2 linked regions of the Neodiprion lecontei genome follow. Each later gene encodes a partner of the first gene's protein in a complex. Links are inferred from orthologs where the notes say so. Each region holds a gene or a part of one and is shown on either strand. Other genes may lie near its edges. The genes, in order: phosphatidylinositol 4-kinase beta and Golgi resident protein GCP60.

Region 1 (4,853 bases):
CTATATGGTGATATTTTTTCCCCAATATTGGGTACATTAATGTTATCAACTCAAGACTCTCATTAAGAAACTATTACGAAGCACAATTCTCTGAAAACTTTATTCCTTCAAAAAATTTTTTCCTTTTCGCTATCTCGCACCTATCCATCTAGCTCTTCTCTTTATGCAGAAAACATTTACAGAGTTGTTTGTTTATCTGGTTACCATAAACAATGTTCAATGAAGATGCTAATGAAATCGCGTTACTACCATTTATTTTAATTAAAACTTCTTTCCAATCATGAATACGTATGCGTTAAATTATAAGTAAAATAACACCGTTTCTCTAATAGAGAGATAAGAACGAAAAAAAGCTATTTTTGATACAGACCGTTTTAAGACCGGTTAAACGTAATCAACAAACAGTGACTCACCCAAGTAGCTCTGCACTCCAGGCTCCTTGGAATTGAAGAGATAAGAAATGGCCATAGACATGTCAAATACTTGGCTCTCAAATAACCTCAGCAAGCATCCTTTAGAAGATTTTGGTTGGGCCAAAGTCTCTTGCCTACAGACTTCAAGCTGTCTCTTGGTCAGTTTAGTCTCTGGTTGACCTGTGCCGCAGCACAAAGTGATCGCAGCATCAGCCAGATCATTTTGCAAAGCGTTGACATGGAGGGTATGTCTACATACAACTTGACCACTATCATTGTTTTTCATAGAGTCTTTGGAGGAACAATCACCGCAGCATAATTCTTTGGAAGTAAAATCTCCCTGCCGGCGGTCTCTAACATCTTTGGAGTTCAAATTTTTGGGTTCACTGTCGTCAAAACTGTCCGCAACATCGTCGTCCTCCTCCTCTTCCCGACCGTTACAAACTTCTTTAGTTAAACAAACACTAGGCACTAGTTCGACACAAGAATTTGACACAGCACTCATATCCCCATCCACAACGTCGACACTGTCCAAATCACCAGCTTGCGAACGTGCAGAGTCCAAACTCTCTCTACTGTGCAAATGTTCCACGCTGGATTCCCTCGTTGTCGCATTAGCCGTATCGCTGGCACCGCTTTCCGAACCGCACAAAATACCAGAGTCGTCAGATCCAAGACTTGCAAGGTCTTCGCGTTCTCTGTTGTGCCCCTTTATCGACGGAACGACGATCGCCGACGGAGTAGGATTTGCCTCGCATTCGGGACTCGGAGTTACGTCGACTTCTGGAATTCTTTGAAGAGCCGAATCCAGGCTACGATTTCTGTGATGCATCGTTAGTGTAGCCGATGTGGCCTGAGGTACCGGCGGCAAAAGGATTCCCATAGATCTATATTAAAAGAGAAAATGAAAACATATAGGTTTCGTCATGCCGACAACCAAACTTCGCTGAAAAACGAAAAAGCACAAATTTTACCTGAAGTCGAGGCTGAGGTTCCTTTGATGCGTACTGAGTCTGTTTCGCACGCTAATCGGTGGGTTAGGCCTGCCGTGCACGGGAGGAACATTGTAACCGGTTAATTTTTGCCTCTTGACATGAGCCACAGTCTCCAGGCGGGTCAAACCACCGTTGGATCCAGTTACAGCAGCTATTTCGCTCATGCTAACATATGACGAGCAACGGCTCAGCCAACAGTCATCTAAAGCTCATTTTGCCACTATACCTAGGAAAATAAAGCACAGTTGTTACAAAACTGTCTACAGAATTTTCTCAGGTATGTCGTCAGTGTCGTTATCCGCCCTTTGATTTCTGTTTTTAAACTCGACAACATTCGAGGCGATAATTTTTCAATTGCTTCAGAAATAATACTTTCAATTGAAATTCTGTTATATTACTATGCTAAGTTCCCTTCATCGTTGTGTATCAATGTTATACAATTGACACGATAAAAAATAGAAATATTTGTTAATTAAGTTTATCAATAATCACATTAGTTTGGTTAGTTAAGAAAAATCACTTGTGCTTCGATAATAATTTAATACAAATGTTATTCTTAATTAACCGATTATTTTTTAACCATCCTGGGTAATAATTGATGGTGGAAAAATTCTCAGGCCACACCTAATGTCATATATTACAAATGTTTTACGAACGTAAGAGTTCCACTGAACTAAAGATCAAAGAATTCGTAACGCTGAAAAACACGATTTGACATTTGTGAACACATACTGGATACATAAAACAGCCACAAATGATTTACAAACTAGCGAGAGTCAAAAGAAACCCGAATGATCGGGAAAACGAATTTTAGGTTCAAAATCAATCATAAACACCAAATAAGTGTTTAACGGGCATTTGAGACATTGTTTTTAATTTTACTCCGTATTGCAGATATGCTCTAACGTTGAAGAACGCGGTAGTGGTAAATCGCGTAGGAAAAATGAGAGAGAGAGAGAGAGAGAGAGAGGGAGAGAGATAGTCGAAAGATAGTTGTGCGACCATTTGGACGATATACAAATAATCCGGTATATTTACGGACTGCTAGAAAGGATCAAGAAACGAAATTTAACGTTTGGCTGACAAGTGTAGAATGTGAAAGTAACGAGGATACTGGACTAAATCTAGGCTACACGGCATTCCTTGCGTGGTGTTTCGCCTCGGTCTTCCAACATCCCGAAGGCAATGGGTGTGCCGGTGTTGACAATTAAATTCCACCCTACGGAGGTCAGGCAGGCAAGCGAAGGGTTTGGCGTCCCTTGGCAATGCCGTAGTACGCGTAAACCGTAGTATAATACACATACATGCACGGTATACACGTACGCGCGTGCATGCGTACGTGTATGTATACTACGGAGGTATAAAATGCCTACCTTGTTTATCGAAAGCAAGGTTGTCCGTCAATCAGGAGAGCATCATCATCCGGAGCGTAGTGATAAAATGCGAAGAGAATGTGTATCCGAACGGAGTAAGAAAGAAATAAAAACCGATATCAAACCCACTCGCTGGAAACACAGATACACAAAAACGAAAACGAGACAAGATACGACCGCTGGCGCGATCCTTCCTTTCCAATGGCTGTCTGTCACTACCGTGTTGAATTCACGAACCTATCCCGTGAAAACTCTCGGTAAAAACGATCGACGATACGTGGACGAATACTCGACTATAAATATTAATACGACACTCCTTATCACTGTCTAACGACAATCGCACTACGAACAATTTACAACGAATACAGGACTAAAAAAAAAAAAACAGTGGTAAAATGACGCAGAGAGGAACGAGTTATGCCAACGCGAAAGGCAAGGCGACACACATTCGACTGCCTCTACGTCGGATCCACACACCTCGACGCACGGGTGCCAACTGAACGGGAGCGCAAAGTCCGGGCGGCGGTGTTGTCGGTTCGCGTTAAACCCAGATAACGTCGGAATGCGAAAACGCCACGAGCGTTTCACGAGGCTGGCTTGGGGAGCGCGTGCACTTTGATTGTCATCATTACCGAATAATCGTCCCCGCGTTTCCTTTTATCCGTCAGATTTCTACGAGGCGATTTGTTTCGCGTCTGGCGCCTCTTCGCCTCTGCTAACCGCGGCGTGGTTCGTTTGTTTTATGCCGCATACGCGTCAGCGTCACTGCGTAGAATTTTCGTCGCAGGTCCGCGTTACGTTGGTAGTAAGGAAAACCCACCGCGCTGGGTGTTTGGATGGGAAAGGTCATACAACCGCGAGTGCAGCTGCACCGAGCGAGAGAACAGCGCGATTGCCGCTGTGAAGTTTCGCCTCTCTTCGTCTCACTTTATTTTCTTCGAGTACCTATTTTGCTTTATTTTCAGCGATGAATCGCGGCTCTTAGTTTTCGGTACTCTTTTGTCAAGCGGTTTTCTCAGGATCGCGATCGTGTAGACAACGAAACGAAAAGAATGAAAAAAACGAAACTGGCAATTGACAATAATGTAATTTTTTTTTTTTATTTCTTTTTAAACCAACGACGCGATACGAATCGAGTATATCGGACACAGTTAGCTCGGTTGATTTTATCTCGGCTCGATATCCGTACGATACGCTGTAATACGACGCAAAATCTACGACGTGTGTGCTTCGCCGCTGTATAACTATATAATCTGTACCTATATGTATATATACAATCATCTTTGCGTATCTCTTGCGGTTGCTTCCAGAGATCTCCATCCGCCGAAATGTAAATTGATATTGTACGAATTAAAACAGCTCTTTTCTCCCACCGAGTGTAATTGTTATTATTATTGTTATTTTCAAAGATCCTTGACTCGAGATTTTTTTTCTTGTTTTTTTTTTTTACTCTTTCATTCGAGTTGTAAGACCCCCCCCCTCCCTCTGACACCGACACGTTTACCCACAAAATAATATGCGAGAATATGTGGAAGAAGACGAAGAAGATGGCAGCTGAATACAATATCGTGCGAGTTTATAGCTGCGTGTATTACAATAACGTCGTGGCGATGATTACCGGGCAATCCTGCCTTCTCTGCCCATACTTCCTGTAATTTCATACGCTTTCTACCTACCTGCTTCCACGGGTAGAGAGAGAAAGACAGCTCGAGAGAGAATATGTTAAAGCGCTTCACCCCGAGCAGCAATGGCTACAAGTAAACATTCTGTAATGTTCTGTACAATGGCTTATATACTCAAAAGCAATAGACACGGCTACCCGTTGTAACATGTAACATCGTAATCGCAATGTCACCGACAATGCCGTGCAACGATAAGGATCTGAAAACTAGACGCGACGGGATAAAAAGTGATCAATTCGAATCGAATCTTCCACTTTAATTACACTCCCCCTTACTTCGTTACTTAGGCATGAATTTAATACTATCCATATTCGAAAGTACGCTGCTACGAATGCCTAACTATTAGTTTCAAAAACGTTTCGAGAATTTTCTATCTTTCGGTTATAACGT
Region 2 (5,957 bases), on another chromosome or scaffold:
TATTTTACACGTGTCATAAATGGTCAATACGATAATAATGAAATCAATCCTAAGCCAAAATTATCAAAATTCTGACCTAGTATCTAATTAACGCGCATAGGCATTTATAAGTATGTGTTTTTCGTTGCGAATATACATACGTATCAAGTTTCTTTTTCGGACGTTCGTTGATGCCGTGGCAGCAATTATACACTTAATAAAATAAGATGCATGTTGTACACGCCATATGTTATAATATACTGCGTATAGACGATGTACTATTACCGTTTTTGCGTAGAAAAAAAACAAAGAAAAAAAACGAAAAAAATTTAAAAAATGTAATCAGTATAGTATTATATGCACGCACGCTCACACACATACATATACACGTATATATATATATATATATATATATATATATATATATATATATATATATATATATATATATATATATATATATATATATATATATATATATATATATATATATGTATGTGAGTATTATCATTTAAAAACTATACCTGGGATAATTCTATACGTCAACGTCAGAATATTAATTATCAGATATGAATAGTAATAATTAAATTTCATCTAATTATAGTTGTGCCATAAATAATAATTGCTGCACTAGTCTGCGAAGTGAAAAAAAAAAGAAAAAAGAAAAGAAAAACAAAACAAAAGATAAAACAAATGAAAAAAAATTTTTATTCAATTTCTTCGTAAATATAATAAATATATATGCATATGTATCTTTTTTCTGAATTTCTTGCATGTCTTGTCTTGTTTTTTTCTTTTTAGAGGCTAGACAGTACGTGAAATATAGACGTATATTTATATATATATATTTTTGTCGTTTTGTTTTGTTTAGACTAGCGTACAGACAGTCGTTTCAGGCTAGTGTGTTGAATAGCTATGCGACGTACTTAAGTAGTTCATTATATATCATAATACTAATTATTTGTAAAACCCGGTCGCGTGTAATAAACTCTGTAATATAGAGTTTTGCTGCGCCAAAGCGAATAGGAATTGTCAAATTTCAAGAGGTAGACACCCTGTGAAAATAGAAAAAAAAAAACAAGTCAACACGATTTTTCGTGGGATTTTACGTTTACAGGTGATTATTACGAAAAGAAATTTCAAGAAAATGATTATTTGTATCACTTGCGAAAAAATAAACTTCAATTTACACAATATAATCATTGAACTATGCTTACTTGTCCCGGATATTGGTGACTACCGGCATAAACCTCTTCCTGTGAATCTCGCCTATAGACCTGAAGAGTAAAAGTGAACGAAATCAGCTTAATAGCTATGAAATTTTCGGTTTGCTATCTCATTGCCAAATTCTAGTGAAAGTAAGCGCATCTAACAATTGAAAGAGGCTATTCTTGTTCCTTCTTTGGAAATAGCTGTCCAAACGGGACTAACATGCATTTACCTCGTTAGCCAAAGATTGCATTACACTGTTATTTGAAATTGGCTATCGTAGTAATAAAATATTTAGTAAGGCAGGGAATTAAGTTAGCTAATTGATCGTTACTAATTCAAATGTCGATGTTAACATGTGTGCTCTAAAAATAAAATCGACCTTGTAGATCAACTACTCACCAGCTGTTCTAACTGATTAGCAAATTGTCTACCGTTCTGATGATTGTTGATGTACAGATTGTGAATTAAACATATACTTGACATATCTCAACTTTTATTTCTTTTCACTCGCCGTGAAAGCTAGTGTCAAACCTTTTGTGGTTCGTTGCTAAGTATTGGCAAAGACGTAAATAGCAGAAATAGTAGTCAAACGAAAATGCAAACTCACAGGTACAATAACACTGATCGGCGGTGTGATCGGTTTACTGAATTCAGACTTTGGGATTCCGTTCATTGCTCCATTCTCCAGGTCCTCCCTGGGCTCGTACTCCTCTTCCTCTTCCTCTTCATCCTCAGATTCGCTGATGTGGACGGAGACCTGGTTGGTCTCCGGTTTGGACCATTCAAAGTAAACCCCAAACCCTATGTCGTACCCGTCGGTGGCAAACTCCCAAAATAGACAGGAACCATCCTCGTGGGTTGGAACTCTAACAGTGACGGTTTCTCCGTGTCCAACTTTGATGACAGCGTCGCCAGCCTCCTTGCGAATGATCTCTTTGAACTCTTCTACTCCGGTTCTAGTCCACATTTCAGCCGCGGACACGGGTGGCCAGTCCGGCTCTGCGTCATCCGAATCATTCTCATTCAGTGGCGTAGTTTCATTTGAATCGGCAGCGTTCTTCTCGCTCTCACTGCTCAGGATTTCCGCCAGCTTCTCTTTCTTCTCGGTGTCCGAGCCCTGATCCTCTATCACCAGCTGATTCTGATGTAGCTGCTGCATGTACTGGTGGTAGTGCTGCTCCTGCAGTTGCCTTATCAACACGCCTTGCTGCTCCGGGTTTCCGGGGTACTGCTGCTCCGCATAGGCCTTGAATTGGTGGTAGGTTTGCTGATTCAACGCCTCCTGTATCTGCCGTCTCTGACTCTCCTGCTTTAGCCTCTCCTCCTCTTCCATCTGCTGCTGCTTCTCAAGCTCCCTGAGCTGCTCTTCCTTCTCCAGCCTCTTCAATTCCTCCTCTTTTTTCAGTCTAGCCTTCTCCTCCAGATCTCTTTTCTGCGCCTCGACCACGGTCTTGAACAACGGGCACAGCTTGTCGAGCAATACAATGAAACCCTCCATCGCTTCCTCTTTCGATATGTCCCCAAGGTTTTGCCAAGCCAAACGACGGTCCCGACCTATCATATCTAATACTCCCAAGGGAGGCGCGTTTTCTACTGTACATTTTCCATGCATCACTTGTTGCGTAAATGCGACCAACTTCAACTTGTCCTCGTAAGACAAGTGAACGGCTTTACCTTCCTTTTCTGAAAATGTGAATAATCGTGTTCGTAAGTCAGATTCAACGTTGCAAACAGGGACGTTTAGTACTTAGAACGGAGTGAGAATACGTGCATTGAAAATATAGGATACTTGCGTGTTTTGGCATTAGTGTTATATGAACGAGGAGTCGAAGTAGCGACGAAGTTGAAGAATCAATTGACACAAAACTCAAAGGTGACATTACCAAAGCAAATCTGCGATTTATTAAGCGCTAAAAGATCGACGTCACTGTGGCAGAGTCGAAACACCAAAGCATAAACACACAATGGGAGCTATGCAAATTGGTATTGAATAGCAATCGAGGAGGCGAGCTTTGTGCGTTGTTCAAAAGAAAAACGTACCGCCAAGGACAGCAGGGTAAAGAAGTGCGGGGAAAACAAACAAGACAGTAAGTGAATAAGACGCAAATAAATGTCCAGGGAATTGATTGCCGAGGTATAAACAAGGTCGGCTATCAAGAATTCCGTTGAATATTTGAAGCTTCGATCCAGCGAGCTGGCCATGAGCCCGATCGAGCTGTCAGACGAGATATACGTAGAAGAGAAAAAAAAAGAAGCATGCATAGGAGATGATGCAGAGAGACGCCTCACCTTTGTAGAAGTTTAAGGCAATCTTGTAGAGTTCGCGGGTCTCGAAGCCCCAGAGATGGGGTTCGAAGACTTTCGCATCGTTCCGGGAATTCGTACCGTCGGCTGTTCTCACCGGCGACAACTTCAGCTTGTCAAAATCTCCTACTGCAGCGGATACGTCATCGCCTGGCGACGCCATTTGCAATTAACCCTGCGGCCTGCCGCCGCTGTTGCTTTCTCGACACGTCGATGCGTCCCGAATCCGACTCCGTGAATTTCTGATTTTTTACACCCGTCGAGTATTCCTCTAAGCCGCCTGGGACAGGTGGGCAACAATTAACACTTCGCGCAATAGTCACACGCTCCTCATCACTAACCCGCTTCGGGAACAGTGTGTTTCTGACGACTCCGATATGCGCGATAAATATTGCGCGAAGAACACGCTGGCCTTGAGAGTTGGCCGAACTGATTGAGCCGTCGTTGCACTGTTGGTAAGGCTGCACGGTCGGCAAGGTAACGCGCTGGTCTTACCAGTCGCCGAAAAATTAGTGCGACAAGTTGGGGCGATGTAAGATGTAACGAAGAACCAGGGTTTATTCTCATAATTTAATGTGCGCAAAAAAAAAAAATAGCGGGAGTTAAAATGATTTATAAAATTTTTCAGCAGCTGTGGATCTTGCTGCTTACTTACGTTTCTTTCTTTCTAATTCCATTTACACGTTGTCGACAACGTAAAATGCACTTTCATTTACGTAGGGTCAACACACAACATCAACGATGTACACTGTAGGATTTCGTGGATTATTTTGAGGATAAGAGATGGAGTTGAATTTTCTAGGCAGGCCATACTTCCTGCGGTGATTAACCGATCCTTGGCGAAATCGAACGATGATTTGAACGTTTGAAATTCGAACGCGATACTTGGTATTTTTGTTAATTAGTATATTTATAAGCATCAATTATTGCTGCGGCAAGAGTGAGGGGAAAATAAAAGGAATACTAATTTTTCTTCCGAGATATACGGCAGTGATTCATTAAAATTTCCGTGTCGTATGTATTGATTTATAATTCAAGTCCTCGATAAGATCAATTTTCTGTTGAAAATCTAATTTTCTACTTGGAAAGAATGGTGCAAAAAATAAAAACAACAGAAAACGCGATAGTTATTATAAATATACCTTCAGCCGGACAGTTATTTTCAGGCGTAATCATATCTCACATCGCACATAGTCCGAGAACATAAAACTTTCAAAATCAATGCACCTTTGTGAAGAAGAATGGAAATCCTGTTTTTTTCATTTTTTTTCACACAGGAAAATAACATTAACTTTTATGTAATATAGATATGGCGAGTTAATTCTTGAAAAAAAAGGAAGAAAATAGAAAAAAGCTGAAACGAAAAAAAAAAATTCTTATCACTACCTTTTGATAAGCAAAGATTACGACCATATGTCACCCGTGTGCTTGATGAAAATCATTTTAAGTATCATATATACCTATATGTCTGAACTACCAGAAGCTCTAGTGATTTAATAAAATTAGTTACTTTGTAATGAAACAGATATGTCGAAAATTAATTACATTCTTGTTCAACAATATTATACCCTGCAGTGTGATCTCAGACGACAAACGTATCACACTGTTAATATTAAACATAATAAGAAGAAAAAAAGAAACTCTGGGAAAAAAACTTTCTTAAAAATACACAGGCACGAGTATCTATCGTATTGCGCGTACCGGTTAAATGTACTTGAGCTGAGATTGAAATTCGTGCTACGACCGAAGATGATAATTTTTCAGAGATATAATAGGCATGCGGAAATGAATTTATCAAAATCGATGCATTATTAAGTACAGATATCGGTTCTAATATTAGTTTATCGAAGCTTAGTGGTGGGCGGGAGTCTGTTTGGGAACACTCGTAGCCTAAGCCCAGATACTTCAGTTCAAGGGTCTATTGTCATTAAAAAATTATATTTCCCTCATGCATCATTTTGAATGATCTCCGATTGATTATACAGAGCTACGAGCAGTGACCGATCGATTCTTTCGTGGCACCCCCACCCATGCCGGCGGAAATCTTTCCAATTTCCACCTCTATCTCGGCAACGTGATTCCCCAGAAATCAGGAGTCCCGAAATCGTGAATAAACCAAAGATCTCTGAGATATTTTTAAAATATTTACATTTACATTCAATACGATCCGTAAAAAATACACTCTACAAAAATTCACAGCAATGTTACGTGAAATGAATTTTATTAAAATAAGATAATAGTAAAAAAATGTACGAAGCGAATCGATTCACGCAACGATAACAGCTGAGTATACTTTTAAATTTCGCTCATTCTCTCCATTCCACGCAGACACATTTATGCTTTGATTATGAACTATTTATCTTGGAATAAATATAAACTTTCGGGTTTCAGTTTGCGCATAAATTCGGAACGAATCGGGTATAGAAGGCGCTAAAGACCCTCGTGATTTTTCGGTACACAAG

Evidence for each region.
Region 2: the proteins of phosphatidylinositol 4-kinase beta (region 1) and Golgi resident protein GCP60 are in contact, whole or in part, in an NMR structure (PDB 2N73), measured with the Homo sapiens proteins. The link is inferred for Neodiprion lecontei from reciprocal best matches to the Homo sapiens genes PI4KB and ACBD3. Residues at the interface, in NP_001317650.1 of Homo sapiens: Val37, Gly38, Val42, Ile43, Asp44, Pro45, Val47, Ala48, Gln49, Lys50, Ala51, Cys52, Glu54, Val55, Leu56, Val59, Lys60, His63; in NP_073572.2 of Homo sapiens: Gln245, Ile246, Ala249, Leu250, Gln253, Thr254, Gln257, Phe258, Tyr261, Gln265, Tyr266, Leu276, Leu280, Gln283, His284, Gln287, Tyr288, Gln291, Leu292, Val295.

Annotation. Positions count from the first base shown.
Region 1 is NC_060260.1:3,883,010-3,887,862, forward strand, and holds the start of phosphatidylinositol 4-kinase beta, read right to left. Parts: upstream 3,270-4,853; 5' UTR 2,782-3,269; intron 1,635-2,781; 5' UTR 1,573-1,634; coding exon 1,388-1,572; intron 1,301-1,387; coding exon 414-1,300; intron 1-413. UniProt on the Homo sapiens protein: Phosphorylates phosphatidylinositol (PI) in the first committed step in the production of the second messenger inositol-1,4,5,-trisphosphate (PIP). May regulate Golgi disintegration/reorganization during mitosis, possibly via its phosphorylation.
Region 2 is NC_060265.1:28,507,798-28,513,754, forward strand, and holds Golgi resident protein GCP60, read right to left. Parts: upstream 3,892-5,957; 5' UTR 3,659-3,891; coding exon 3,481-3,658; intron 2,875-3,480; coding exon 1,799-2,874; intron 1,257-1,798; coding exon 1,197-1,256; intron 1,035-1,196; coding exon 933-1,034; 3' UTR 665-932; downstream 1-664. UniProt on the Homo sapiens protein: Involved in the maintenance of Golgi structure by interacting with giantin, affecting protein transport between the endoplasmic reticulum and Golgi. Involved in hormone-induced steroid biosynthesis in testicular Leydig cells.